5 linked regions of the Nothobranchius furzeri genome follow. The main gene of each other region encodes a partner of the protein of the gene in region 2 in a complex. Links are inferred from orthologs where the notes say so. Each region holds a gene or a part of one and is shown on either strand. Other genes may lie near its edges.

Region 1 (5,626 bases), on a different chromosome or scaffold from region 2:
CGATATTCTGGCCACAGAGGGCGGTGAGGGTCTGAGTAACTTTTTATTAACCCTGTAAAGGGTTATTTTAGCCCATTCTGGCTCAAGACAATGATTTAAAAATCTGAAAATAAATTGCATAGTATGGTTTTAAAGGAATAAAATAAGAGAATAATGTCAAATACCTTCAACTAAATAAACAGTGTTAAGAATTCATGTCAAAGAAAAACGTTCAAGTACATGGTCAATCATAATTTATTCTTATGCTAAAATGTACAGCATTTTAAGTGACTGACAAAAGGAGAAAAGTCATAAATACAAGAATGTCATTCTGTTCGATTTGAGTGCACATAGCCGGATATTTCCCCCTGTTCTCACCAGCAACTCTGTACAGGTACAAAGGCTACAAAAGAGCAATATTAACAAGAAAAAATAAAACAAAACACAAGTACAAGTTGCGTTTTACATGCAATCCATTAGCTTAGTTTGTGTCTATTCACAGGCTCTATTCTTCTACAATTCGGTAAAATATAAATTCCACATTTTATAAAGATAGAAAACAAATCTACAGATGGAATGAAAACGTAGCTTTAAAGGCATTATGTAAAATATCGACTTTGGACTAAGTTTATATCTTCTTTATCGTTATTCGTTGTTATAATCATTTAATTCTTTTAAATTCTGCCACACTTCCGGACCTTTTGAAATGTTTTAGAATTTTCAGGGTACAAACACTGAGATATGCTTTGTTTTTAGTCTCTTTTGACAGAAATCAGTCTGCTTTATCAAACAGAAAGCTGCCTCAAGGAGATCCGTTACAAAAGGCTTCAGAATTATACACACATCGCAATAAAACCTCTCAAACCAAACAGAAAACAGGACTAAGTTTACATTTTTTTTACATTATTTGATTTAACAAAATATAGTTTTATCTTTGTCCCTGTGGAGGGATACCTAATAAAGGCCAGATACTTTTAAATGGCTTGCTATTAAGCACAACACTTGTACAGTACTACTCAAATGCACTGTCACTAACGGAGACTGAAGCATGCTTTTTCTCACTTTACAAAATAAGTACAATAATTTAAATATACAAAGGCATGAGTATAGTACAAACTAAAGGTCAGCACTGTTAGACAGGTACACTGAACAGGTTCAAACAGCCACTATTCTCCACTTGTAGCATTGAATGGCTTCATTTGAGGCTGCTACACGACTGCAAGACCACAGATGAAATCTCTACGTCCGAGCTCTGACCCCGCCTGGCCTAAAGACACATCAGAGACGCTAACACTAATTAAATAGATTTTCATCATAACGATGTAAGGCTTCCCATCAGGAGGAACAAAAATACTTTTTAACGTTAGCTTTAAAGTGAACTCACTGATGAAACTTTTTGCATTCTTTACAAGTGCTGCTGCTGGTTTTTAATTAACAAACGTAACTGAAAAGGACACCAGAAAACGGAACAACAAGGCCTGATCAGTGCATCGTTCCAACGGCCAAAAGCACGCGGGAAGAGGCAGCTCTGTCCTGCGGAGAGTTACCGCCTGATTAAAGGCCCTTTCAGGGACTGCTTGGACATGCCCGTGTTCATGTAACCATGGTGACCAGCTGGAGAGTACACCATGTTGCCATGTGGCGGAGCCTGCATGGGTTGCTGGGGGTATGGCTGTGTTCCCATCATGCCCATCTGCATAGAGTACTGGGGTGACTGGTTCATATAGGCATGGTTGCCATGGTAGCCACTGTTCATCATAGGCTGGCTCATGCTGTAGCCATTCATAGCGTTGAGGGAGGGCATGTTCATGGAGTTGACGTTGTAGCCTGGCGCCGGCATGATGTTCATGCTCATGTTCATGCGTGGCATGGCAGCCAGCGTCCTGGATGGCGCCTGCATGGCGACAGTCTGTGGTGGCCGGGAGTACATCTGCTGCTGGTGGTGGTGGTGGTGGGACAACGAGGCCGACTTGGAGCGTGAAGAGATGTGACTCTTCGATGTCATTTGGGGCATCCGCTGCGAGGGCGGAATGCCCATGTTGGGTTGGAGCATCATGTGTGGCGGCGAGCTGAGGTTTGGGGGAGGGGTCATGGCGGCCTGCACCTGTGGGTTGGGGACCCTGTGTGGGGTCTGGGACAAAGATACCAGGCTGGAGTGCTGTGACGAGAGTGACGGGGTGTTTGCGTATGAGGTGTGGGGTATGGGGTGTGAAGCCGAGTGGTTGAAAGGCAAAGAGTGAGAGTGGTCCATGAACGTGTTGGTAAACTGCTGCAGCTTGGCCAAACTCAGGCCTGACGACTGAGCGTAGTGCCCGCTGCCGTACTCCCCCTGGCGGTTCATCCTCTCATAGAGGGCGAAGTTTGGGTTTCCAGACTCGGGGATGTCTGCCAGCTGCACGGTGGTGGTGAAGTTGGTGGGTATGGCGCACTGAGCCATGGGCTGCTGCTGCTGCTGCTGGCTGTGATGACCGTGTTGATTGTGAAGACTATGCTGAGCGTGCTGATTGTGCTGGCTGAGCGGATTGTGCTGCGGGTGGTGATTGTGGTGGTGACTATGCTGGTTGTGGGGATTGTGTTGACTATGCTGGGTTAGCTGATTGTGCTGGCTGTGCTGATTGTGTGGGCCGTGCCTGCTGTGGGAGTTGTGTTGACTGTGCTGGCTGCGCTGGCTGTGTTGACTGTGCTGGTTGTGCTGGCTGTTGCTGGGAGGCCTCTCCACCACCACGCAGCCTTGCGGCGACTTGACGTTGCAATGTGGCGGCGAGCTCAGACTGTTCGCCTGAATCATCCCACAGCTGCCAGGGTTAACGGCGGCCATTTGTTGGCTTACAGCACAGCTGCTCTGGGGCAGACCGCTGGGGGGGATAGTGCCATACGAGCAGCTGTTCTGGGAGGGACCTGCGCCACAGATGCTACCCCCCATGGTGGAGTCATAGCTGCTGGGGTTCTCATAGTTCTCTGTGGTACTCTCAATGCTGCCGAGATCACTGAATCCACTGTCCACCACCTGCTGGGAGTGATCGGACACAGACGGCACATCCATCATGGGGCTCGTCTCCATGTTGTGAAGCGAGGGCACGGAGATGGCGCTGTGATCAGGGCTGATCTGAGTGTAGCCGCTCTCCATGATGGATACTGCAGGGCTGTTAACGGAGCGTACGGACTGGCTGGGATGGGACTGTGCCGAGGAAAGGGGACTGCTGTGGTTTGACTGAGGACAGTCGTCCAGCGAAGTGAGCTGAGGGCTTTGGGCCACGTGGGCAAAACTCTGTAGATTCCTGCAAGGCTCCTGGCTCTCCACACAGTCCTGGAAAACGTTCTCTCCCTCGCTTTCTTGCGTCAGGGACTGAACAGCTTGAACAGTCTCTGAGTCAATCTCCGTGTAGACGGGGTGATCCTCTCTCAGCACGGGACTGATTTTTGTACTCCCTGCAGGCAGAAGAGGTGGCTGATTAGGACGAGGACTGGGTGTGCTTTCCTCCTCGGACTCAGACTCTGCAGGATTATCGGAGTCTGCAGCCGCTATTGAAGCGACGGCTGCATCTTCAGGCGGAGGTGTTGCTTCTGTCTTCTCTGTTACTCCATCCTGCAGGTTTTCTGCAGCACTAACTGCTTCTTTCTCACTACAGAGGTCTTTAGCAACCTGCTGACTCAACTCAGAGCCATTGTCTTCTTTTGGATCTAAAAAAGGTTGGGTGCATTTTGGTGTCTCCTTTGAACTTTGTTCTGACTCTTCAGCGCTGCTCTCTGGCACTGCTGCCTTGCTGTGACTTTCATCTTCATCATCAGCATCCTGATCCTCTAGCTGAGCTCTTTTCTCCTCCTCTTCATCGTTTTCCTCGTTGTCATTCTCCGGCGATACAGAGACCTCGGTGCTGAGCTCCACATCTTTGGCTGGTGAGTCCTGATTGAGTCCACTCTCCCGCTGGTTGTCCTCCGGTGGTTCTGGAGAGTCCGCTCGAGTTGCAGGGCTCGGTGAGACAGCTTCAACGGATGCAGCAGGAGAACACACCGGAGAAGCAGGAGAACACACAGGAGAAGCAGCCGGTGATCCCTCAGGAGAGCTTGACGTCTGGGAGCCGTGGTCAGCAGGGCTTGGAGGCTCCGACTGGAGCCCGTCCTGCGTTAAATCCGGACTAGCCAAGCCTCTGCCTACATTTCTACCCTCATCTGCGCTGATATCCTGATCTGTTTCGTGTTTTGCCTCCTCAATGCGAATATGGTGCTGCTCGGCCTCCATGGGGGTTTCAGGGGGGGTGTAGAGGTTCAGCTTGAAGCCCATCTTTCGTTCATTCTTGAGTCTCCATTTAGGAGGACCTCGTTTAACCCCTTTGGGCCAGCCTTTCTTCCTTTTCACTGGACGAGGTCTGCTGGGTCTTTTGGAGACAACGTCAGCTCCTACAGATGGAAAATCAAAACAACAAAAGCTTCACCGTCTTGTCCTGTTGGTGATGAAGGTAAATCATGTAAAAATATGTGTGAATAGCAACTTAAGATACCTTCATTCCAGAGGTCAAGATCTTTGTGTGCATTCTTCTCAAGCCTTGGGCGACCTCTCCGGCGTTTCATCTGTATAATTGATGTCTTGTACTTTTGTGTCTCTTCCTCCTCTTCATCATCCTCGTCGTCATCGTCGTCATCCTCCTCGTCCATCTCGCCCATTCTGGACGTGTGTTCCAGCAGGGGCATGGGGCGTTCTTCGTCCGAGTTGTCGAACGGTTCGTTCAACACCTCCGTGGTCTCAGAGATGGTTTCTGTCGTTACGCTGCTGTTTATTCGCTTCCTTTTGCGCCCTCGCTTCTTGAGAACAATCGCGCTCTGAAAGGCAAATAAAACAAGCAATGAAAACAGACCAAAACCTTGTTTGCAGTTGAATGACTGAAACTAGGGCACTAGGCGTGTGACCTCCACGAGGATACAGCAGGAACCAGCCCAGGGGTTGTGTGCTAGAGGTTTAAACCCCACTGTAAGACTAAAAGCAATGCAGCCTGGTGTGGGAAACCACGAATGAGACCGGCAGAGCCAGCAGAAACCACACTCTATATTTTACATTCTTTAGTTGTTTCCCACCGGATGCCTACGACGCGACCGCTTTCCTCCTCAGAACTGTCAACAAGCAGAATGTGAAATCAATACTGTAACTAATGCACTAAATAAACTCCATATCATTCTTTTTCTGGTTTCTGTGCTGCTGTTCTCGAACAGACCTCGCTGACATCACCAAGTCAGCTGTAATATTATCTGCAGCACAAGGGGGCAGTGCCATCTAGACAGAACAGATGTAAGAAGCACACAAGAGGGCGGTAAATTAACCATGACCACTGACAATAGTACAAGGTTTAGCCTGCAAAGTCTCAACACCAGCAGTGAAAACACAATCCATTATCTACTGTCGAGGGCTCACAGGGGAGGCTCCAGATGACAGGAGGAAGCCATTGAACCCTACACCACATCTATGAATATTTATCAAACCGTTCCATCTCACTCCGGTACACAACACGCTCTTTAATGAGGGGAATATTTAGATAGCTGTGTGGTTCCACTTTACTGCAGAATTTGTGGACAGAAAAAGCACACAAACAATAAAAGTCACCTTTCTCTTGGCTGCAAGCATCGTATGAGCTTTTGTCAGGATGGGAGGCGAGCC
Region 2 (6,064 bases):
TAATCTTGCCACACAACCACTCGCGCATGCGCACAAAGATGAAAAAAGACGTCAACAAAGATCCTCGTATAACGGATGTCCGACTGAAAATCTCATTTCTTCTTCTTCTCCTGAGTGCATCTTGGACAAAACCTGCCAGGTGAAAAGAAAAGGAGAAAAAGAAACATTAAACAGGTCATTTTTGGACCATTAAAGGAACACCTGATCCGACTAATGGTCTCACCATTTCCCTTTTGGTTTTGTGGCTAGGTCCACACAGGCAAAGTGAAACCACTCGATTGGACACTAAAAGTGAAAAAGAAAAAAACGTGAGGATGACAATATCCACTTAAATCTGAGGAGAAACATGTCTGCAAAAGAAAAGGCTTACATCAGGGTTATCACAGCCAATCATCTCTCCGTATGACACCTGATGGCACAAGCAGTATGTCGGCTCATTGGGATCAACAGGCATGTCCAAAACGTCAGACGGTTGCATTGGCAGGAGAGCTTCAGTCAAGTCTGGACTGAAATTCAGACACATTACAGAAAATTAATAAAGGGTAAAGAAATGCATTCTGGGTTTTACGTATCTGCAAGGCCAAATCTACCTGTTCTTTATCTTTTTCTTTCTGGGAGAGTCTTCATCAGAACCTTTCCGCCCCCGTCCCCTGGATCCACGTTTATCTCTCTGTACGCGCAAATCGCTTTCTGCACCAAATACACCAACACGCATGTCTAACATCAAATCTTTACCAGTAGCATCTCAGTATACCAACTTACTTTTCAGCCCTCTTCCATCTGTGCTCTCATATCCACTCAACTCCAGTTTCTCCTTGAGCTCGTTCTCAAACCGAGCCAGATCTGCATCTAACCGCCGAATATGTTTGTCCACCTGAGAGGAAAACGGACCTTTTTTAACATTCAGCTACATGAATCACACCTTTTCCTAAAACGTATTCGGCAACATGAGGAAAACTCTTAACAAGCCATTAAAACAGGAAGAAAGAAAATCTGCGAGTCTTTTTCCACACCGACCATTTCATACGTCTGCATTGCAAGCTGGACTTTATCGTCGCTGAACTCTTTGCACTTGCTGTAGGCATTTTGAATCTTTTGTAGATGTTCCACTCTCTGCTGCGAAGCCAAGTTCTTCACATTCGCCACGTATTCTTCAGCCAGCTTGTCAATCTCTGCTTTCTTTTCTACACAGCAGAAAAATATATGTTAGGACCAGAGATTCCCCCGTACTGTACTTCTGCTTTACGCAAATAACAGCTGCTGATTTTCAATGGGGGAACATTTTTAACACCAACAACTATTCTGTCACTTCAGATTATACATATATTATCTCATAGATGACAACTTCTTGCAAACACAATATGCACACTGCCACAAACGTGAATGTTTAACTTCTTATACCTTTTGGATGATGAAATATAAATGTAAAAACAGCACCTTCAGTTCTATTGTCCAGGTCTCGCATCAAAGTAAAGTTCCTCTGCAGCTCACAGGGCAGGTTTTCAATACCTAGAGAGATGATTACCCAGGAAAGACATTTATTACTTTTGTTGAACATACCCAAGTTCATTTACAGCTAATTAACATAGGAAGTAGAGTTCAGATATCACTGGAAACTACGGTTGGGCATCGCGCATCGAGAATCCACGGACGATCTCCGTGAAAGATAAACGTAATCTGCAAATTGTGATCAACGCTTTCCAGAGCTGATCACACCAGCTGTCTGTGTGCAGCACCGAGTCCCCCTCCCCCCAACCGACTCGCAGCGACCAGATCCAAACAGACGCGTCCGCCGAACTTTTACTCCGTAATGTAAACTTGAATTCTTGCAGCGAAAAATGCAGCGTAGAGGAAACTTGTTAAATACGTCAACACGGTGGATTTAATAGAAGCTTTAAAGAACAAACTCTGGACGGTGTGAGGTGAGTTTGTGTCACTGCAGAAATAAAAACACACACGGAGCGTCAGCAGTCAGACGCAGCCGCTCACCAACACTCGAGCGTGAGCGTCAGAAGGGTGAATAACCTGTAGAATAATTATTATTATTAAGTCATCATGCTAGAGCAACTTTCTCTGTGGTGAACCACATCAGCTGCTGCCCTAATAAATAATAATAATAAATCACACAAAGTTGTGAACATTTTAATTTCCTTTCTGAACTATTTCTGTTGAGTTTTAATGTTTAAAATCTGTTAGATTGTTACCGACAGCAGCAACGTTTAAGTTTCTCTTCCTGTTCTGACTGAATGCTGCTGCAGCATGGAGGTGTAGTTCTCCGTCATCCTGGACATGATCATCCTGAGAGTTTTAGCTGAAGACAGCTGGACGTTTCTGGATATGTTGGAGACATTTAGCCTCTCATCCCAGAGGCTGCTTCCAGACTTTGGTTGTGGTCAGAAACAAACACACTGGTTGTGCTGCAAGTCTTTTTGTCTCCAAAACATGTTTTTGTCTAAATGAGGGTGATGTTGTTGTTCATAGAGTTAAAATTCATTTTGAAGTTAAGATTATTCCATCAAGTAGGCCCTGTGGTTAGCTGGCTCATGTAAAGCATGTCATGTCTGGAAAGAATCGGAATCGGGAATCGATAGGAACCGGAATCAAAACAAGGAATTGGAATAATTCAAAATCAAAGATGCCCAACCCTACTGAAAACCTCAGCTGATTCTGACATGTTGCAATGAATATTTTTGGTATTGAAACAAACGTGCAAATCCTAAGTTCAAAATGGATCATTTCTGACCTTCCTAGTGAAAAAAATAGAATGAATTACAATAACAAACAGGCTTTTAATTATCTCAGAACATCAACAAATCATCCACTTCTTGTTTTGATTACTTTAAGAATTCCCAAACAGAAAATTTACATTAATGAACAAATCAATAAAAGCATTTTCTGAATAACTAAGATTACAAATACAATGTAAAACACATAAAAGTCTCTTTTTTCCAGAAGGAATTTAAGTACTTCTCACCGTCAAAGACATTTGAATGAGATTGAATCTTATTGATCTAATGACACACGGGATTCCTAGTTTCCTTCATTTGTGACAAACTCTCGGTAATAACGTGATTATAACTGGAGTCAGAGTTCAAACAACTATGGTTACACAATTAAAGCTTATGGAGATGTATTCAATGCAACATTATTATTACTTTGCGCAATAGCAAAATAACTTTCAGTGGCAGAATAATAGTGTGTAACAACATCAGCTGCAGATGTGTGAGGATTTATAGTAACACAAGCTGAAAAGCACGTCAAACACCCCGCCTCGGCTGGAGTCTAAACAGTTACGGGAAACGCGGTTTTCAAAGCGATGCGCATACATCGAAGAGGTTGCTGCAAACATACAAACTGACAGAAAGTGATTTCAAATAAGTCAAAGATAAACAATATGCTCTTTATCAATAAAGTATTACTGTTGTAAATAAAAAAATAAGTTGATATTTTAGTAATAAGTGAAACACGGGAGGTTTATTACCGTGTTTATCAATGACAGTTTATTTCATCTTTACCCATCTACTTATCTCGCTGCGACAGCGAGTTAGCTGGAAAGCTAAAGTTTGCTAATGTAACAACTACTTGTCTCTACTTTTGAGCAAACTATTCGATAAAAATCAACGTAAAGCACAAAAACATTTTTGACAAGTTATTATCGATCTCGGTGCATTATCAGATACTTACTGTCCAAATAATGCTCCAAGTAAATTGCCGTCGCCATTTCTGGCTATGTATTTAGCTGCTGCGTTACTCTGCTGCTTCTGTGGTCACGGCTTCACGGGGCGCTGTTGCGTTTGTTTTACTATCCTGAGTTTGCCGCCGGGCGATGGCTAAAATGTTGGCTCCCGCCTTTCTATTTCCCCAGACCAAAATTAAACATTTTTGTTCCCAGGCAAACAGCCTAATTTCGTATTTGGTCACTTATATCTTTCTACACTCTTAACAATTCTAAAACTCAGTTCTTGTGCCAATATTTGTCCCCCACCTCTCACCATTTTCTAAATTCGATTTTATTTAAAGGTGAATTATTTGATGTTTAAAAAAACACTTTCACCGTCAATAAACAAATAAAACCACACATATTTGCATTGCCAAGAGAAGGGCAAATATTTCACGTGTGTGTGCACAGTGAGTGTGAGCTGTAACCAAGCGCACCCTTGCTGCTTTTTTGCTAGCACTTTCCACAGCTGTCAGCTGAGCGGTTACGTCATTCAAAACAACACACCTCCCTCTCCAGAGACGGGCCACTTGTGAAGATGCTCGGTGGGGCGGAGTTAACATTGACTGAAACATAACGGCCCTCCGGTCTAAACGCTGTAGTCACTTTGCTAACGGTCAGGCCTTTTCATCTCGAAGTAAGGCATCGACCTTTTGCATATCACTTCCGCGTTTTAATTATCACGAAAAAGACCGTTTGGGACAAACAGTGGAATAAAAGTAAGTATGTAAACCACAAAATAAGCTTGTTGTCTGACAGAATTGTACTGTTTTCTCACTTTGTGAACATTTTAAACTCATAAGTAGCCATGCTAGTTCACTAGCTATCACCTAACATCTGGAAACTAGCTAGCAAAAAATGCTATTTGTTTATTTCATTTAAACAATGTGTACTTATTTCATCCCATTTCATCACCTGCCATTGAGACCCATACAGTTTATGTAAATTAGAATTAAATGATTTGTATTAAATGCAGTACTATAAATAAACATAATGGCACAACATCTGAACTTTAAACACTGAACAGGAACTCTATTAAAGTCACACGGTAACTTCTTGTGCTAGCAGATCAAACTCATTTGAGCTAAGTCTGCTAATAGTGATCACTTTCTAAAAGACTTTAATTTGCCCTCCACGTGAGGCTGTTTTCTTCTGAAGGAGACTGGTCAGTTATGTTAGCAGTCATGAGGTTTGTTTTAGATGCACCACACCCAGTCATCATCTCCAGCTCTAACTGACTCACGTTGTTTAGGGGTTGCAGATGGCTATGGTAAAGAGTGGCTGGCTTCATAGACAAAGTGAGTAATTGTGTTTCTGTGTATTCAACTGTCCCTCAGTGGAAAAAAAAGGTCTACATCAAGAAATCTTGTCAAACAAGTGTTATATTTAACTTTTAGGTACCATATTACGCCGGTGGAAAAGAAACTGGTTTGATTTGTGGGCTGATGGCCGGCTCGTCTTCTACAATGATCAACAACGGCGCGACATGGAGGATGACATTCACATGAGAGTCCACTGCATCAACATCCGCAACTCTGGAGCATGCCAGGGTTTGTTTTCTTTCCACACATTTTTGCGTAAAAATCACACTTGCAGAATGTTATACACTTTTTTTGTTTAAAAAAAATCCTTCTCAACTTTTGTCCTTCCTCCCAGAACTGAACCCACCAGAGGGAAAGATACGTGATGCATTGTTCCAGATAGTGTGCAGAGATGGACGTGTCATCAGCCTGTGTGCAGACAGTGCAGATGATGCCCTGTAAGCACATTTATTTATTTATTTATTTTAACTTCTTTGCTGATAAAAGTGGATGCACAGAAATGAAATATGTTTACATTCTGAGAAAAACATAATTTATATTCTCAAACATTTTTTGTTGCAGTGCATGGACCATGGCACTGCAGGATGCCAGGATTAATACGGTGAGGTTTTGCTGCATCTGTGGGGTTCTGTATTTGTTTTGTTTGGTTAAATTCCTGAGCTAAAACTTTAAAAAGCATTTGAGTTACTACAAGTTTAAAACATTAAGCTTTAAGCTGAAGACGTGTTTTGTAATGTCTCCATCAGGGAGCCGATCATTCTCTGCTTTCATTTGTTCAGAAGCAATTGAACTCTTTTTTTTTTGTTATTGGTCGCTTGTAGAAGTCTCATTTAATTTGTTGATCATGTAGGTGGTTGCTACTCCTCAGATTGGTTTTGCAGAAGTGATTGCATCTGCTCCTCCCCCCTACTCCGAATATACTCACCCACAGGTACAACTGTTTGTAAATATGATGGGAAAATACAACAAATATCTATTATGTCATAATTCATCATTTTGAAAAGAGAATTATTTAAAAAAAAAA
Region 3 (5,626 bases), on a different chromosome or scaffold from region 2:
GCCCCTCTGGAAGGCCGGGCTTCGGGCCTCTCTTCTTCCTCGGGGGGCGCCCCCTCCGTGTCATGGGAGTTATTGAGGGGTGCCTGGCCATGTCCAGCGGGTGAAAAGCTGCAGACTCGGCTTGACTAGAGAAAAAAGAGAGTGGGCTCCTGGATGACACTGTTCTTCCTCCAAGTGTTCTCTCCTCATCGTCGTCGTCCTCCTCCTCCTCCGCCAAGCAAATCTTGGGTGGCCGTCCAACCCGTGCAGTGTTTTTTATTTTGCCCCAAGGCAAGTTTTTGGGCGGACGTCCCCGTGGCCTGCGTTCTCCATTTGTCGGTGGTGGGGGTCTTGTCCCTAGGACAGGTGGTGGACCACGGATGGAGGGGGAATTTGGAGAACTCTGGTTGATGGGAAACCCCAGAAAGCCTTTTGTTTCTTCATCCTCTGCACTGGGCTGCATTTGCCAGGGTGCTGGGAGGACCTTCTGGCTTGGTTTGACCTGTTCACATTTTGTAAAGGAAAATAATCAAACATAACGTAAAGCAGATTTGAGATGGGTTCCTACATTCCACAAACTAAATGTACATACCTCCTTGTGAACGTCTCCTCCTTCATCCTCATCCACCTCATCCTCTCCGTCGGTTTCAGAGACCACCGTGTTTGTCACGATGACCGGAGTCCAGCGGAGACACTCGGGGTCGACATCCAGCTGCCGTGGCCGGGCTTTTAGACGAGCCATGTGGTTCGCCACTATCTTCTCCTTTCGCACCAGCACAAGTCTGAAGGAAAACACAACACCAACGGCATTATGAGTCCTGAATGAGTAATTTAGTGGTCGACTAATCTGTTTATGCAGGGTTTTTCCTGCGTTCAAATTTGCGTGGCGGCCGCCTCCAGCTAATTTTGTGGCTCCCCAGCCTGATTTCACTCTGCCCCCAGCTACATGGATGTTATTTTAACTGCAGTTGCAGCGTTACGCCACTACAGGGGCGCTGTATCAGCAGCGGTGCACCGAAAAGCACTAAAACAGCTGCAGACAAAGAAGATCAAAAAGCTGCTTTTCTCGCTAGTTGGTACTTATCTACGGTTGGTGCTGTTGCAGGTATGTTTGGCTCTGAAAGGCATTGATCAGAATTTGCCAATCACGTTTTTCACAGAAATTGGCCAATTTTGATCATCCCTGATATTTACTAGAAAAAAACTTTATTTAACTGTTGTTATAAATCAACATCGACACAGCAGTGTTTCCCCTACAAAGGCTCAGGCGTAGCACTGCACCACAGCTGCAATTCCAGCGCCACACCTACAAGATTCCCCACCGGCTCAGCTTTGTGGCAAAGTGGCGGCATTGTTTAACGAAAGAGGCTTTTGAGCAACAGATGATAAATAATGAGTAACTAGTCTTCATTAATCTCTGACCTTTCTCCTCGCTGCTCCAGCATGTTGAGGCTGTGCAGGGTGGTGGTGATGTCCTGTGGGCAGATCCCTGTCAGTTTGCTAAGTTGGCGAATGGTGATCCGTCGGTCATGGAGCTCGTGGAGACACTCCAGCACCACGCTGCGCCAGTAGGCCATGTAGGACAGCCGACCCAGGTCTGACAGAGGCTTCTCTGGAGATCCAGGCTGTCCCTCCCGCTTTGACAGCAAGTAGCCTAAAAGGAGCAGAGCATTAAAGACGTTATAACTTAGTTACTCATGTTTTAGGTTGATGCTGGTTAATAGTGGAAGCACTGTGATGTTCTTACTAAAGTCGATGAGAAAACGCCCATAGCCCTGCCGCTGATATTGTGGAAGAATCATGATGCATGATACGTTGTATTTCTGTTGGCAGTGCTTCTCCTGCAGAACAAACATCAGTTCAACCATGAAACTGAAAACATTTCAACACAAATATGTTTTGATGATTTCCAGCAAGGAATCTGAATGTACTGAATGATCAAAGGAAACAGCTGCTTAGGGCCCCTGGACCAGCAGGGGGCCCCCAAGAGCACCTGAATTATGACAAAATACATATTAACAAATCTCTAGAGACACTGCTCCACCAGCAGACCAGGTCAAACTTTAGTTATCAGCATAAAGATATGGACTGTTACACTGACTTATGACATGGTAACAAGTTAAGCGTTTACTCCAAGTAACATCACTAATTATTATTATTATTATTAGGGAAGAATGCTAAGAGCTACCTTTCACAATGTTTTCATCCTCTGTCCCTTCACTCTGAGCCTCTGAGCCAATACATAATTATTAGGGAAAAAGTAAAAATTACATAAATAACATTTTAAAAAATGTCTAAGGCAAAAACCATTCTGTTATATAGAGTTTATAAAATAATTATCACCAGCTCTACAATAAACCATTAAACTGGTAATGCTGGTGATGGTGGGGAGTGTAAATGGCAACCCCCAAACCCAATTCTGCTGACAGACTTTGGGTTCTTCGGATTAAAGGAGCTTTGCTGAGAGGCATTAAAGGCCAAGTTCAAAAGTTTGTTCTACTCGATTGTAGAAATCCAGCACCAACGTAGCACTAAACCTACCCCCTCCCGCCTTCGGATTGGTGAGGTCATCAACTGTAGGAGTCAAAGTGCTCTTTGCTTCTCCCAAGATCTCCCTCCCACCTGTGACTGTACAGTAGATGAGCGCCGTAGATGGCTGATCTCAGCCCAGCCCCCCCCCAGCCCCCCCCCCCCCCCCCCCCATTGGAGTCTCATGTTATGTTGTGTTGTCTGAAGTCCGTTGCATATCTGTTGAGGTGTTTTTTTGCAGAGCAAAGCTGCCCTCCTGGTGGAGGGTAACTCTGAAGTGCCTTTTTTCCCTCCACCTGAACCAATCCTCATGTAACCCTCTTATCTCCATTAAAGTAGCGCGACTCGGGTTGCGAATGACCACAGTCACCAATTCTTGTCATGTGTCTTGCCCATGTATGTCTGATATCTGAATTGTATGTACCGCAACTCTAATTTCCCTCTGGGATTAATAAAGGATTGATTGATTGATTGATTGATTGATTGATTGAACACTCTTTTTGCGTGGATTTCTGATGTAGGTTGGAAGTCAACTTCAGTCAGCTTGGCTCAGCGCTTCCTTAATGCAGGAATGCGCAGTGCTCAGTCGCTCACTGACACTATTATTAGCGACAAAGTTGCTACTTTTAAATATGGCCGTAATACTAACACATTTCTTATCCGTGTGGTTCCTGACAAAGTCATGCTTTTGGGAGGAAAAATTAAAGAAATGACAGTTTTTAACAGGTTTTATCTGAACACGTTTAAGACGAATGTTTTATTTGATCTAATCTCTGGTTTCTAATATCGAATTACATTCTTACTTTTCAAATCAACAGCATAACAGTTTAAGCCCAAACTGGGTTATTTATATAAATTCTGCAGTCCTATGGAAAAACATTACTGCATGTAGGTGGCAAAAAAATACATTTAAAGACACTAAGATGGAGGCCTGATAACTCAAATAATACATTTAAAAAATACTTTTTTTTTATTTCTATTTAAATAGTAGAGTACAGAGTCTGCGTGCTCCTTAAGAGTCCATTCTGCTAAGAAAATCCTAAATTTCTTTTGTGAAAATCTACAGAATGATGCACAGATCTGCATCAATAAATTTTGTACAGCATAGTGATTATAAATAAAGTTAAAAAATAAATGATACCGATCTGTGGATTATTATTTTACTGGACAAAAAACTGGGCAGTGAATGATGTTGATAAGAAACTCACTCCAGTACACATCTGACCTATACATTCATTTGTTAGAGAATAATACTTGGTTACATTTTTTGTAAAACAAAAAAAATATCTTTGTGGACTAAAACTTTTTTGAATTTTAGTCGACTAAAACTAAGACAAAATGCAATTCCGTCATCAAGACTAAGACTAAAACTAAGATGCCTGCCAAAAACAACATTGAACAGCAGAGGGCGTAGCGCTTTGCTGGTGTATCCTGCTATCAATGCTGTTGCATCTGTATTGGGTTTAAATTGTGTTTCAGAGACTTTTCAACATCGACAACTTTGTCCTCCAGCTCTTCATCCGGTAACCTCCTTTAAACTCACGTTTCTGGTCATTTCCTGACACAAATAAAAGGTTTGCTGCATTTCTTTGTACTCCTTCAGTCATGAGTAAGGGTGTAGCGGTACGCCAACATCATATTCGGTTTGGTTCAGTGTCATTGAAGCGCTCGGGCCGATACATTTTCGGTATATAATTATTATATTTATTTAACATCTGAAGCGGCTCCTATAGTGGGCAGAACCAGGTGTCATCACAGGCTGCTGATCTAGCGTGATGTCTTTATTTCAGAGAGTATTTGTGCAGCTATGAGTGTCGCACTCACACAGTGTTGTGTTTGACTGTTGATGCTCCGTGTTATTTCTGCAGCGAGCCTTAAAACCCACCTCACATCGCCCTGAGTTTCTTCTTTAAAACTCGCACTAAATAACGAGCATCCTCCGCGCCGTATTTTTGTTGTAGGATGAAAACTTTACATCAGTTGTCCCAGGGGGAAAGTTCAGCTGCTGTGTTTGTTTAAATTTTTGCCACTGCGTCCCGGCACAGTATGAGGGAAGGGGGGTAGGGGTGATGTGACACTTTGTTCAGCGTCTCTACAGGCTCCAGCAGCAGCGACAGCCAGCTGGTTTGATCTGCTCTGAAAGGCATTTATCAGAATTTGAATAGAACATTTTTTTAACCCTCCCAATGTCCTCATGGGTGACCCCGCCAGGAGAGTTGACCACTGAGCAGGGTTCATGGGTTATCCCTTGAGGTCCACGTGGCAGGGGTGGTGCTCACTCCTCACCCCTGCCACGTGGACCTCAAGGGATAAACATGAACCCTGCTCAGTGGTCAACTCTCCTGGCGGGGTCACCCATGAGGACATTGGGAGAGTTAAACGGAGATCGGGTGTGTGCAGCCATCACGCGTCACTCAATATAGCGTCTGTGCGGAAACTTGCCTAGGAACTTTTATTCGCTGCACTTAAATCACGCAAATAAAAATTCATTATTTAACGAAACGGTACGCAAGTGGACCGAACCGAACAGGCCGAACCGAAGCGGTTCAACACTCCCCCGTGAACCGTTACACCCCTAGTCATGACTGTATAAACATTTATATCATCTGACTTTTACTGCAAGTTTTTCTTTATCCTGCTCTGCGTCTGTTGCTAGATATGTTGGGTTCTCGTTTTATTTTTTTGAGGGGGAAGGGTGGGGCTGTTGATGAAGTTAAAAGAAGCAGCGCCCTGACCAACCACAGCCTTGCGGTCTGTCGCTTTTGACAGCTATTTATAAAAGTGGCCTCGATTCCGTCCATCCTTGAGCCTATTGGAGAGCCCCTTCGATGACGGATAATGACGCCACATGTCTCCACACCGATGCAGATGAAAAAAGTATAAACTAGCCTCAACCCTGTTTGCTCTGCAATGCTGACGTTTTATCTCCACAAATAACAAGTCTGAAGGAGTTCTGCCATGTTGTAGAGTTGCTAACGCTAACTGTGAGCTTCTACTAGCAGAGACGTGCTCTGCTCTCTCCTGGGTGCACAATCAACCTTCCCCGTCATGAGCAGAGATGGGTGAGACCTTGAATGCTAACTTGACATTATGATGTGCCAACATCACTAGCTTTTCT
Region 4 (6,329 bases), on a different chromosome or scaffold from region 2:
GCTTCTGTTTTAACTTTAGGTTTTATCTATTACACTACTTTGGGATCCAACACTAGTGTTTTCAGATTAAGGAACAGAAATTAATTCATGATTAAAATATTTGCAGGAGTGCAGTGCCTTGAACATGGGTTAATATGTGTATTTCCTTCTTTAAAGCAGAACATTTCTACATTCAAGTTCTTTTGAAAGTATGGTTTTTGTTTTTAATGCCAATTAATCATTTTTGTTTACATGTAAATGCCCTTGTAAAACTGCACTATTACTACAGTATATATACTTTTATTTACACAACAGAAATATGTTTCAACTTGTGTTTACTTTCCACCCCTTTGACCAATGGAATGCCATCTAGATGAGATGTTCTGATGCCTTGCATAAACAATTATTTGGACTGAAACGGTTACTGGAATGAATACTTGCCAGCAGCCAAAAACAACTGGTTCCGGTCAAATGGTTCAGTGGGACAGAGCCTCGTTTTGATTGGATGCGCATGAGCTGGCAGTGTTATAGGGGATGGGGAGTGTTCAGAGCCATATATACTGTACATAATCATTTTTTACAGTAGATGCCTCTGGTTGTGTTTTGATCAGAATGTAGCAAAACCATGTGAAAGCTTGAGGCCTAAAAGTGCAATTTAACCCCTTTTCATAGAGCTTTGACTGTGGCCTTGGCACAAGCCTTATCTGTGATGTGTGCAACAGGAGAACACTGAAATGTTAAAGTTCCAAGTCCAAGCAAGAGACAGAAGTTACCAGGCAAAGTATAATTACTACAAACCACCTATCTGACTCTTTCAAAAGTTCTTTCAACTTGGCTAATACTCGGTGCACACTTATGTAAAAGGTTTTGTGCAATCACCCATTAAATTGGATGTTTTTTCCTTTTGTGATTTGTTGTTTTAATGCTGCACTTTACCAAGGTATTACAGTTGTGCATTTTGTTCCCATATGATGGTACAAAATACTAGTTTTCAATGTAGCAAAGAAGTGTTATTGCCTTGCTACAAGATGTGTTGATTATTTTATGAGCTGTTTGTGACGATAGCCTAACCTGTTTTATTTTGCATTTATTTTCAACATTGTATTGTGAAATTAACATGAAACTTGATGTGGGAGATTTGCACAACATATTGTCTCCATTTATTCTGTTGGGAGTTCCTTCACTGTATATAACAGGTTTCACCAAACTGTACTTTTTACCACTGACAAGCATGGCCAATATTTTCATGATCCGCAAAGCATAGGAACAGGAAAAGTGTTAAAAGTTTCAAGATCTCACATCTTCACCACACAAATGATTTCAGCATCCCAGTCCTGCCAAAGCTGTGACCTGTATAGCTTGTAGTATTTGTACATTTTATTTTGACTGTTGGAAGATAGCATTTGTGGAGCCGAGGTCACTTTATTGTATATTATTCCATCAATTCGGTTTGAATTGGACTTTTATAGGATATTATGCAGAGTCTTCTGCTTTGGTGAAATATTTCCAATTGTAAGAGATTTCTGTTCTCTGTAACTTGTATCTGGTATGTTCCACTTTTCCTAGCTGCTAACTGGTTGGAGAGCAGAGGAGGAAATGATGAATACAGGCATATTCATTTGGATGTAGTGATCATACGGAGAGCTGTAATGAGCGGAGGAGGAGCATTTCTGACACTGTTCCTCTGCACACCTCACTCCTTTTTGGAAATCATTGTCCTTATGATTATGCTCTGATTATCTTTGGCTGGTATTTAAACTGTGTGGGTTGCTTTTGCCTGCTTACCCCACTTTGTCCTGCTGCATTCTTATCACAAACTGTATGTTGAGAGAGAGAAATAAATATTTTGTGCTTGATGGTTTTGATTAATTATTGTGTGCACACCATTAGTGTAGCTGTTAGTCAATGCTGTTATAATTTGACAGCAGGAAGTCGTATCTTATTTACCTCTTCGCAGTTTTGATTTCATTGAATAAAACGATTTACACACTTTTTATTTTAAGTAAAGTTTAAACAATAAATTTCTGAGTAAAGGAAGATGATCATCTTTGATGGACAGACTCGTATACAGAATGATACTGGACCAAATTTGGAGTTTAATTTGTAACATTAACTACAACTTGTGTAAGAAAAGACAAATTAAAACTGAAAATTAGAGCCTGTGAATTACTTTCACCAAATCACTAATGAAGTGTAGGCAGACCAGAGAAGCCCTTAGGTTGGATGGTGATTTTGTGGAGCCGCCCACTCTACTTCTAACAACCAATCACGTAGCGTATTCAAATCCAAGCACCAATCAGAGCAGAGAGTTCAGCCCACTGCGTCCCTCCGTCTGATCCAATCTAAAAGCAGTCAAGCAAGCCTGTTTTGCGTGGCGAATGTGTCAATCCGCCTCCACGGCTAAGCGTTACAGTAATGGTTGCCCCTTTTGTTCAGCCGATTTACTAAATTATTCCCCACACAATGAAATTATATGGACGCGAAATTGTTCCATGAAAACGTTTCAATGTACCTATGCTTTCCGTGGCCTCATCTGGGACTATCTAATGAATTAAAATCGATCTGCAAGCCGTCTGAGCTGCTGTCTGAGGTGTCCGATGCGCGCAGTTTGCTTGAGGAACGTGCAGTAGTAAGTGTTTATAACGTTAGTAGCCGGGATATGTAGTGCTATTTACTAAATGGTTGCATTTGCGCATATATTGACATTCGGGAAATGTGAGAAGACACGATTCTGTGGTTGTTGTAATCCACCATAATAGCCCAATGTGTCCAGAAAACAAAGTGACGTTGGTGCAAAATAAGCGCTACAAAAACAAATAGCTGTATAGTGGTGACCTAACGTAAATGGTTCTTAGTTAAATTTGGTCAAAAATACCGTTTTCCTGTGGCAAAGCCTATAAAATAATAATGTTACGCTCTTATTTTGCTACCTTGTGTATGGAATCCACAGGGTGAGGTCAATATGGAGGGAAACGCTGGCTCTGAATAATTAATCAAACTGCAGTCTTTCTAACTTAAAAACATTAATTGGGTCATTTTATTTTCATATCAGTTGTATCAAAATGCGTTGTAGCGCTAACATAACATCTGCCTTTGTTTAGCTAACATTTGAGCACAGCTATAGTTCAACATTATCAACAAAATGGTACACCGGGTTAATATTATTACGGATAAAAGAATCCTCGATAAGAAAAATAATGTTTTGTGGCCTCGTGTTTGTGGAAACCTTGTTATTTGTGCTGTGTAGTTTGAAAAGGGACCAAATGTTGTTTACTAGCAGTTGTTAGCATGCTAGCTAATTGCGCCAGCTACAGTCATTGTTTGGGGGAAGCATGCTAACGTTAGCTGAACTAAAAGCATTATGTTTGAAGAGTTCCCTGCTAGCTAGCTATCATATATCCCTCTCTCTCCCTCTGTCTATTTCTACATTTGCAGTCTTATTTGTTTTATTCGATTACTCCAAACATGACAGAAATTCGTTAGGATGTTGTCTTAAAGTGCACCTGTTAGTGGGTTCATATATTTCCCTCTGGGAATTGTGTTCACATTTTATCCATTTACAGAAATATCCCAACAGCACTGTAGGGACACGTTATTACAAGTTACATGCGTGGAGCAATGCCATTCAAACAAAACTGATCTTACATGAAATTATCGTTAAATACTGTGGGTCATTATTGCATGGAACTATTTAGATTAAAATATTTTCTGTTGTGCTTGTTTTATTTTGTCTAGTGTAAAACCCTTTCCCATAAGTGATTTTTACTCACATTTGTCTCTTCAGCCTGGCAGAGTGAATATTACATTTTTCTCCAAAAGATTTAGTAGAATGAAGAGTTTAAATGCATGTATTTAATACGCAAGTAATTAAATTGTGTAAAAGCAGATAACTACTCTCAGAACTCTTAAGTAATTTTGTAGTTTAAACCCACAGCTTTTAATTTCTTGTCTCCTCATTGTTCCCACTTGTGTTCTATTCCAGATGTAAAGTTAAACCACACCTGGCCCTGAAGAGGCTGCTGGCGAGATGGGACTAGATTTTGATGTGAAGACATTCTGTCACAATCTGCGAGCCACCAAGCCGCCGTATGAGTGCCCTGTGGAGACTTGCCGGAAAGTCTACAGGAGCTTCAGTGGCATTGAGTATCACCTGTACCATTACGACCACGACAATCCAACCCCTGCTCAGGCCATGCCCCAGAAGAAGAGAAAAGGACGGCCTCCTCGTGCCTCCCTGGCTGGCTCAGGGGATACGGATGATGGTGGCGGCAATGGAGGACCTGGTCTTGAAGGGACCACGCCAGGTAGCCCCAACCGGTCAGAGCACTCCCAGTCCCCTGGAAGAGATGCCATGACCTATGCCCAGACGCAGCGCATGGTGGAACTAGAAATCCAGGGACGCATTCACCGCATTAACATCTTTGACGACATTGATGTGGTTTCAGAGGAAGACAGTGATGCAGAGGATGCACCACCGTCGGGAACTGGTAGCTGTGGGGGAGGGGTGTGTAACGGTAGTGACAGTGGAGCCGGAGGCAGCGAAATAGGAGGAAGCGGTAAAGACCGTTCAGAAATTCCGTCCTCAAATGGTGGAAAGGCCACCCCAAAGACTGGGAAGCACAAGAGTAAAGATAAGAAGAAGGATGGTTTATCTCACCATCACAACCCTCAATCTGGTCTTGCAGTCAAGCTCCCAGAAGCCGTGTTCAGAGAGCTGGACCAAGAGAGGCCCGATGCCCCACCCCGGCCTTTATCCTACTACAGGTTTAGGACTAAAATGATTATTTCATTTTATACTTGTTGTTTTGTTTACTTATATGAAAAAGTTCTGTAATATTGTCTTTCTACTGTGTTTTATTAGAAAGCTTCACTTCTCTATTTGACTCCTTTGTCTTTTTGTTATGTAAACTTGGACTTCAGGTATATTGAGAAGTCTGTGGAGGAGCTGGATGAAGAGGTGGAGTATGACATGGATGAGGAGGACTACATCTGGCTCGGCATCATGAATGACAAACGGCGACGTGACAGCGTGACGCCCATCCCTCAGGAGGTCTTTGAATACCTCATGGACCGCTTAGAGAAGGAGTCCTACTTTGAGAGCCACAACAAGGTACCTGTACTTATCTGTAGGGGCAAGAATAGTTCACTCACTGTAACGTAGCTGTTGACTGATGCATTCTGTTACTCCTCCCCTCAGGCAGACCCTAGCACCTTGATTGACGAGGACGCCGTCTGCTGCATCTGTAATGACGGCGAATGCCAGAATAGCAATGTAATTCTGTTTTGTGACATGTGTAACTTGGCCGTGCACCAAGAGTGCTACGGGGTGCCCTACATCCCAGAGGGTCAGTGGTTGTGTCGGCGCTGCCTTCAGTCACCCAGCAGAGCTGTGGACTGTGCTCTGTGTCCTAACAAAGGAGGAGCTTTCAAACAGACAGACGATGGACGCTGGGCTCATGTAGTGTGTGCCCTCTGGATCCCGGAGGTAAAAGCATACACTACTACTTACATCCAATTTGTCCTTTCTTTTTTATTTAGTCATTTAAGTAACGTTTGCTGCCATTTCTCAGGTCTGCTTCGCTAACACAGTCTTTTTGGAGCCGATTGATAGCATCGAGCACATCCCTCCTGCACGCTGGAAGCTCACCTGCTACATCTGCAAACAGCGCGGCTCAGGCGCCTGCATCCAGTGTCACAAAGCTAACTGTTACACAGCGTTCCACGTCACCTGCGCTCAGCAGGCGGGGCTCTATATGAAGATGGAGCCTGTCAGGGAGACCGGGGCAAATGGGACCTCCTTTAGCGTCCGCAAGACGGCATACTGTGACATCCACACTCCCCCAGGATCCGCCCGACCTTTAGGAGGAGTGGGCGGTGCCAGCATGGGGTCGTCTAACAGCGAAGGGGAGCTGGAGGACGACGATGAGCCCAGCCTTGGCCAGGACGAAGACTCCAAGGGGTGGAGTTCTGAACGAGCCAAGAGGGCAAAGGCCAAATCCAGGCTGAAGATGAAAAGAGCAAGGAAGATCTTAGCAGAGAGGAGAGCCGCTGCCCCAGTAGTCTCAGTGCCGTGTATTCCTCCCCACAGGTAGGTGTGTTTTAATAAAAGCATCTTTTGTAGTATATGCAGTTGATAAATTATACAAACAAAATAACTTTCTCAAGTGAGATACACTTTAAAGCGGTGTTTACTTTTCTCCAGGCTCAGCAAAATCACTAGTAACTTGACGGTACCCAGAAAAGGTCAGTTCATGCAGAGGCTTCACAGCTACTGGACGTTGAAGAGGCAAAGTCGAAACGGCGTGCCCCTTCTGCGCCGGCTTCAAACCCACCTGCCCTCACAGCGGCAC
Region 5 (6,154 bases), on a different chromosome or scaffold from region 2:
CTTTTCTGAACACCTGTGGAAGTGAGCCAAAACCAGAAACACAGACTGTTAACCCTTTGGTCCTGACTTTATTAACACACAGTAAACTAAAACAAAAACCAATCTTACTTCAGCCGGCTTCTTTGGGTTCGAGGCGGGGGTTCCAGGTTTGCTGCAATACTTGTTAAATGAGCAGAAGGAGGTAGAAGGACCTGACAGAAAACAAACTGTAAGTGAAAAGAAGCTGTCAGATGTAGTTTCAGTCCCTGCAGCGACTCACTCTCATTGTCTGAGCTGTCACTGCTGCTGGACGACCTGAGACGTTTCATCCTGATAAGTCCTAAAGAAAATGGAATTATTACAGGAGGCCTTTTCATTCCAACGGTAACCATCACAAAACGTTACTCACCATAAACCTCATTCTAATGAATTCTGACGAATAATAAACCACCTTGTTGTAACTCTGCAAAAGAAAAATACAAGTGAGTCAGTTAAATAGCTTTAATACAAAACAAGGATCTATTCTGTCATCATACTTTGCATCAGGATGAAGATTTATTGCCTCTTCATGACATTTACTAAAATATAAAGAGAAAAAAACACTCCCCGAATTACTCTCAATAATCTAACATAATTTGGGCAACAGCCGTAATTCAGATGAATGGAAGTGAAAAAGAGACAACACCACGAGCCAGCGGTGTTTACCTTCAGCCCACAGGACCACGGGTAAACTCATTATGGTTTCAAAATGCTGAGGGACTCAGACCCAGAGTAGCCCCACATACAGTGAGCTGCTTTAACAGACAGGACATGCCTCACATTCCCCATGAGGGCAGGAGGGGCAGCAGCAGGAGGAGGAGGAGGCACACGGCCAGGTCCTGTATCTGCCAGAGTAAAGTAAAACATAGAATCCAGAGAAGAACGCCTAATCGACTGATTCCCACCAACGTAATGGCTGTTTATGCTCCACCTCTGCAACAAAATGGCCCAGGAGATCTAAAACACCAAAACCGCTGCTGGTCGACACATATGGGATTCAATTCAAATTCAAAAATACTTTATTAATCCCAGAGGGAAATTGATTACTGATTGTAAACATTCAGTGTTTAGTCATAGAATAAAATGATCTCATGAGCGAACTTCCAATGAGTAAGGCTGTGAATGGGCTTTCAATGAGAATTATTTAAATATTAGGCAACTAAATGTAATTTTTTAATATTATTTTTTTTTTAGTACACTAAAGCTTAAAGACAAAGCAACGAGGAGATGCACCAATCCTGGTTGGTGAAAGCTGACGCAAATGACTAATTCTTGCCCTACGGATTTTTACTGATGGTGAATTAACAGAGAAAGATTTTTTTTTAATCACTGCTTAGCAAAGTGACATTCACAGACCGGAGGGTCATTAAAATTTTAGCCAATCACCCTGATATTGGCAGAGTCCAATTACTAGGATTTTGTTATTGGTGCTTCGCTAACCACAACTTCTTTTTACCATGAAATCTTAAGCATACCATGTACTAGGGCTGAACGATAAATCAATAGTTCAATATGTCTATCGATTGACGTGTGATGCGATAAGAAAAAAATAAATAGGTCGATAAAACTTCGATAAAAAGTTTCCTTTTTTCATTATACCCATCGGGTAGCAGCATATTAGACTAACTACTTACTCCTAACCAATCAAAACCACAGACTCAGGCACCGGGCCCTCCCCTTCTCAAGCCAAAACAGAGCATGAGGCAGCCGCAGCAAGATGTCTCAGCCAGAAGAGGTGGAGAAAAATAAAAATACCAAGAAGAAAATGGCCAGGGCTTCACGTAAAATATATTTTCTACAATTGTTTTAATATTTTTTTCATAATTATCAATATCGATCAATATAAATTTTTTTTATTGATTTCCTTTTTTTCTATATCATCCAGCCCTACCATGTACATATATTCAATTAAACTGAGATCATTTATACAGCACCAAATCATGACATGAGTCGTCTCAAGACACTTCAAAGTAAACATTCCTATACAGGTCAGTTCATTAAGCCAAGTGCCTGCCATACACTGGCACCACTGGTCCCTCCAACAACCACCAGTAGGCAAGCTAGGTTAAGTGTCTAGCCCAAGGACACAACAGCAGCATTCTCTGGTAGGAGCCGGGATTGAACCTGCAACCTTCAGATTACTGGACAACCCGCTCTATCTATTGAGATACTGATGTCCCAGGCTCAGTATAAGCAGCCATCGGCCACAACTCACTGGGGATTGAGAAGACAGAGCAGACACACAATATATGTTTGTGTTACAAACATCTGGTACAAAAACAAAAGTTACGAGAATTAGGCTTCAAACTACATCTTTTTTTTTTTTTTGCATTTGTTAGTCCAAATAAGTATTTCATGTATTAAATGTCAACTCTATAACATAACCACCGTTTGGAATTTTTCATTCAAAGAATACAAAAGTAAAATGAGCAGTGTATCGTGGATGCCTCTCAGCTACTATGACCTAAAGGTTTGTTAGGGACATTTTTGTGTTAGCTGATGGCAATGTCACAGTAGAACCAGCTAACTGAGCTGGTAACATAGGCAGAAAGAACCCCTGTAGCAGAAGTGAAGGTTTTTGTTTGAAACAAAGCCAGGAGTAATGATTAATGGGGTGCCACTATTGCTCCAGCATAAAACATGGACACATTTGACTTTTTGTTGTGATATATAGACTTGTTGTGTATAGGGAGTGGTTTTAAAGGCAAGCTGTTCAGGCAGGAACGAGATAAAGTCACCAAACTGTTAATAACAGTCACAAATCCCTGGCAGGGGAGACGCTGCGAGAGGGGTGCATTTTTCGCTACAACACCAGTAAAATACTCCAGCTTGCTTGCTACGGTACGGATGTGACATCAGAAACAGCGATTAAATCGTTTCCACTACGTTTACTTCTCTCTCTCATAACACCACTGCGTTGTTCTAAATGCCATGCATTTAGTCGCAGGCGGATTCATGGAGCTACAAGTCCAACAGGCAAAGTACTCAAGCTTTAAGTAACGCTAGTTTTGTCTGGGGGGAAGTCTTGGCGCCAAACACTCACAGGCCCTCGGCAGGCAGGCGAGGAAATCAAACATGGCGCCACCACCGTACAAAGATGTCACTTCCTACAGCTATTAAAGAGAATATTTTTGAGCTCAGCCATTTTTAGTTCTCAAAAGAAGATAACTAAATGCTACAATACAAGAGTTAACACAATGGTATTGCGATTTGTAGGGTGGAGGGACATACATGTTCCTGGGATAGCTGAAAAGGACCAGGCCCTGTGGCCTGAATAACCATCCTGGCACACTGAACACACGCGCATATTGTTCACATTCCTCCCGCGTTACCTTCAGTTCATGTTCGCTTTCCGCTTGGTTCCAAACACAATGGGTCATACAGACCGCAGAGACATCCAGGTTTATGGGCCGTGGTCCCAGCTTTAGATTAAAACGAGTTTGAATCCCAGCACACAGTGGGAATCTCTAACCCTAGCAGCCCACCCACCAACACGCCACAAGAGCTCTATTGTACCGCTCGTTCCTCCGGGTCCTAAACCTCACCGGTTAACGTGGATTTCTTCAACAAATTACTACCAAACGCAAAACCTAAAACAAACCCGGATAGACAGGAAAATGTAAGATCCTGTAGATTTTAATGGGTTTGAAACCGTAGCTGAGATGCATTTTTAGAAGTTAGAGCAGCAAATCAAAAACTTCAAAGGACTAATCACATGAAGTTCATCTTCTTGTTATCAACCCTACAAAACAATAGTGGGTTCATTACATTGCTTTAAAAATCACATTGGTCTAAATTTAGCTGGTGGTTTTATTTAAAATGACGGTAAAAAGCCAGCCCTCGTTCGGAAACGAGTGTCAAGCATGGTGTCAAGCCAGCCCTCATTGGCTTTTTACGGGCGCAACTACAAGAGTGTCTTTCAAAATAAAAGCGCACTTCTAAGATGTGTGTCTGAACTATCGACATATATACACATTAATCGTGAGGTCTAACCTAACCAATGAATAGACCAAATTGTTTTTATGGCCAACTTTGATCACAGTTTATTTTGAAATGCCACATTAGATTCTTTTGAAATTCGGAGAGGATTTAGTACTCGATGTGTACTTTAAGACTGAGGTAGAATAGATGTCGCGGAATCAGACAGTTTTTGAGAAAGAAACCATTGAATATGGTGAAAATTGTCATTATTGAGAACTTTGATTGTACTTTATTTTGAAATACCACATCAGATTTTTATGAAAATGGGGGCTTATGTAGTTCTCGATGTGTACTTTATGACTGATGTGGAAAGATGCTGCACAATCAGACAGTTTTTGAGAAAGAAACCATTGAATATGCTGAAAATTGTCATTGTTGAAAACTTCGATTGCACTTTATTTTGAAATACCACAACAGATCTTTATGAAAGTCGGGGAGGATGTAGTACTAGATGTGAACTTTAGGAGTGATGTAGAATTATGTTGCGCAATCATACAGTTATTGAGAAAGAAACCATTGAATATGGTGAAAATTGTCATTATTGAGAACTTTGCACTTTATTTTGAAATGCCTCATCAGATCTTAATGAAAATGGGGGAGAATATGGTACTCAATGTGTAATGTAGGACTGATGTGGAATGATGTTGCACAATCAGACAGTTTTTGAGAAAGAAACCATTGAATAAGGTGAAAATTGTTGTTATTATTGACAACTTTGATTGCACTTTATTTTGAAATGCCACATCAGATCTTTATGAAAATAGGGGGGGGGGGGTGTAGTACTCAATGTGTACTTTAGGACTGATGTGGAATGATGTTACGCAATCAGACAGTTGTTGAGAAAGAAACCATTGAATATTGTGAAAATTGTCATTATTGACCAATTTGATTGCACTTTATTTTGACATGCCACATCAGATCTTCATGAAAGTAGGGGAGGATGTAGTACTCGGTGTGTACTTAAGGATTGATGTGGAATGATGTTGTGCAATCAGACCGTTTTGGAGAGCCATTGAATATGGTGAAAAATTGTCATTATTGACCAATTTGATTGCACTTTATTTTGAAATGCCACATCAGATCTTTATGAAAGTTGGAGAGGATGTAGTACTCAATGTGTACGTTAGGAGTGATGTGGAATGATGTTGCACAATCAGTTTTTGAGAAAGAAACCATTGAATATGGTGAAAATTGTCATTATTGACAACTTTGATTGCACTTTATTTTGAAGTGCCATATCAGATCTTTATGAAAGTCGGGGAGGATGTAGAGCTTTATGTGTACTTTAGGAGTGATGTGGAATGATGTTGTGCAATCAGTTTTTGAGAAATTAACCATTGAATAGTCAAAATTGCTTTTAGAGCCAACTTTTGATACATTATTTTGAAATACCACATCAGATCTTTATGAACTTTGGGGAGGATATGGCACTCAATCTGTTTTATGTTGCCCACAATTTAATAAAAAAATTACGTTTAAATTGTGTTTATTCTTTTAAAGTATTTTTAAATAAATATAATAATTAAAAACGCAGTTTTATCTTGCACACAAATTTTCACACAAAAACGTTTAAATTGTGTTCGTTCTTTTAATTAAATGTATTTTTAAAATAGATAAAATCATTAACAATGTAGTTTTATCTTGCACACAATGTTACAGAATTTTTTTTAATCGTTTTCATTCTTTTTCTTAAAAGTATTCTTTTAATAGATAAAATCATTAAAAATGCAGTTTTGTCTTAGACAAAATTTAACACATACAGAAAAAGTGTTCATTAGCACGTTCAGACACACATCCTAGAAGAGCGCTTTTATTTTTGAAAGACACTCTCGAATGAGGACACCGAAATTGCTCTTGTAGTTGCGCCCGTAAAAATCGAAGGAGGGCTGGCTTGACACTTGTTTCCGAACGAGGGCTGGCTTGACGGCAGTGAACAGTTTTAGCACTGAAACTCCTTGAGAAAATTCATAATTCACTTTTCTGGGGATGGAAAAAACAGAACAGGTATACAACACAAACAATGTGTGTTCACGTTACTAAAGACAGCAGCTAAAGATGAGCAGATTTTTACAAATCTGCAGCAACCACACGAGCAGCTTCAAACAGCTAGTGACATATATGGCTATGAAAAAAGAAAATGCTGTGCTTAAAAAGA

Evidence for each region.
Region 1: ing5a (region 2) and kat6b share a complex: the UniProt entries of both Homo sapiens proteins name them as parts of the MOZ/MORF complex. The link is inferred for Nothobranchius furzeri from reciprocal best matches to the Homo sapiens genes ING5 and KAT6B.
Region 3: ing5a (region 2) and kat6a share a complex: the UniProt entries of both Homo sapiens proteins name them as parts of the MOZ/MORF complex. The link is inferred for Nothobranchius furzeri from reciprocal best matches to the Homo sapiens genes ING5 and KAT6A.
Region 4: ing5a (region 2) and brpf1 share a complex: the UniProt entries of both Homo sapiens proteins name them as parts of the MOZ/MORF complex. The link is inferred for Nothobranchius furzeri from reciprocal best matches to the Homo sapiens genes ING5 and BRPF1.
Region 5: ing5a (region 2) and jade3 share a complex: the UniProt entries of both Homo sapiens proteins name them as parts of the HBO1 complex. The link is inferred for Nothobranchius furzeri from reciprocal best matches to the Homo sapiens genes ING5 and JADE3.

Annotation. Positions count from the first base shown.
Region 1 is NC_091756.1:40,156,849-40,162,474, reverse strand, and holds the end of kat6b (histone acetyltransferase KAT6B), read right to left. Parts: coding exon 5,573-5,626; intron 4,798-5,572; coding exon 4,479-4,797; intron 4,378-4,478; coding exon 1,523-4,377; 3' UTR 1,299-1,522; downstream 1-1,298. UniProt on the Homo sapiens protein: Histone acetyltransferase which may be involved in both positive and negative regulation of transcription. Required for RUNX2-dependent transcriptional activation. May be involved in cerebral cortex development.
Region 2 is NC_091748.1:41,162,630-41,168,693, reverse strand, and holds the start of ing5a (inhibitor of growth protein 5a), read right to left. Parts: upstream 3,819-6,064; 5' UTR 3,722-3,818; coding exon 3,685-3,721; intron 1,510-3,684; coding exon 1,438-1,509; intron 1,185-1,437; coding exon 1,018-1,184; intron 875-1,017; coding exon 763-874; intron 691-762; coding exon 591-690; intron 507-590; coding exon 371-506; intron 286-370; coding exon 224-285; intron 133-223; coding exon 93-132; 3' UTR 1-92. Other genes in the region: plekhb2 (pleckstrin homology domain-containing family B member 2), read left to right, coding at 4,980-5,016, 5,116-5,268, 5,375-5,477, 5,602-5,641, 5,891-5,971. UniProt on the Homo sapiens protein: Component of the HBO1 complex, which specifically mediates acetylation of histone H3 at 'Lys-14' (H3K14ac) and, to a lower extent, acetylation of histone H4. Component of the MOZ/MORF complex which has a histone H3 acetyltransferase activity.
Region 3 is NC_091757.1:30,187,360-30,192,985, forward strand, and holds part of kat6a (histone acetyltransferase KAT6A), read right to left. Parts: intron 1,821-5,626; coding exon 1,727-1,820; intron 1,634-1,726; coding exon 1,402-1,633; intron 762-1,401; coding exon 572-761; intron 482-571; coding exon 1-481. UniProt on the Homo sapiens protein: Histone acetyltransferase that acetylates lysine residues in histone H3 and histone H4 (in vitro). Component of the MOZ/MORF complex which has a histone H3 acetyltransferase activity. May act as a transcriptional coactivator for RUNX1 and RUNX2.
Region 4 is NC_091755.1:57,354,899-57,361,227, forward strand, and holds the start of brpf1 (peregrin), read left to right. Parts: upstream 1-2,433; 5' UTR 2,434-2,608; intron 2,609-3,961; 5' UTR 3,962-4,006; coding exon 4,007-4,743; intron 4,744-4,899; coding exon 4,900-5,089; intron 5,090-5,176; coding exon 5,177-5,464; intron 5,465-5,549; coding exon 5,550-6,067; intron 6,068-6,181; coding exon 6,182-6,329. UniProt on the Homo sapiens protein: Scaffold subunit of various histone acetyltransferase (HAT) complexes, such as the MOZ/MORF and HBO1 complexes, which have a histone H3 acetyltransferase activity.
Region 5 is NC_091756.1:62,531,430-62,537,583, reverse strand, and holds the start of jade3 (protein Jade-3), read right to left. Parts: upstream 3,512-6,154; 5' UTR 3,351-3,511; intron 443-3,350; 5' UTR 389-442; intron 320-388; 5' UTR 309-319; coding exon 260-308; intron 192-259; coding exon 109-191; intron 14-108; coding exon 1-13. UniProt on the Homo sapiens protein: Scaffold subunit of some HBO1 complexes, which have a histone H4 acetyltransferase activity.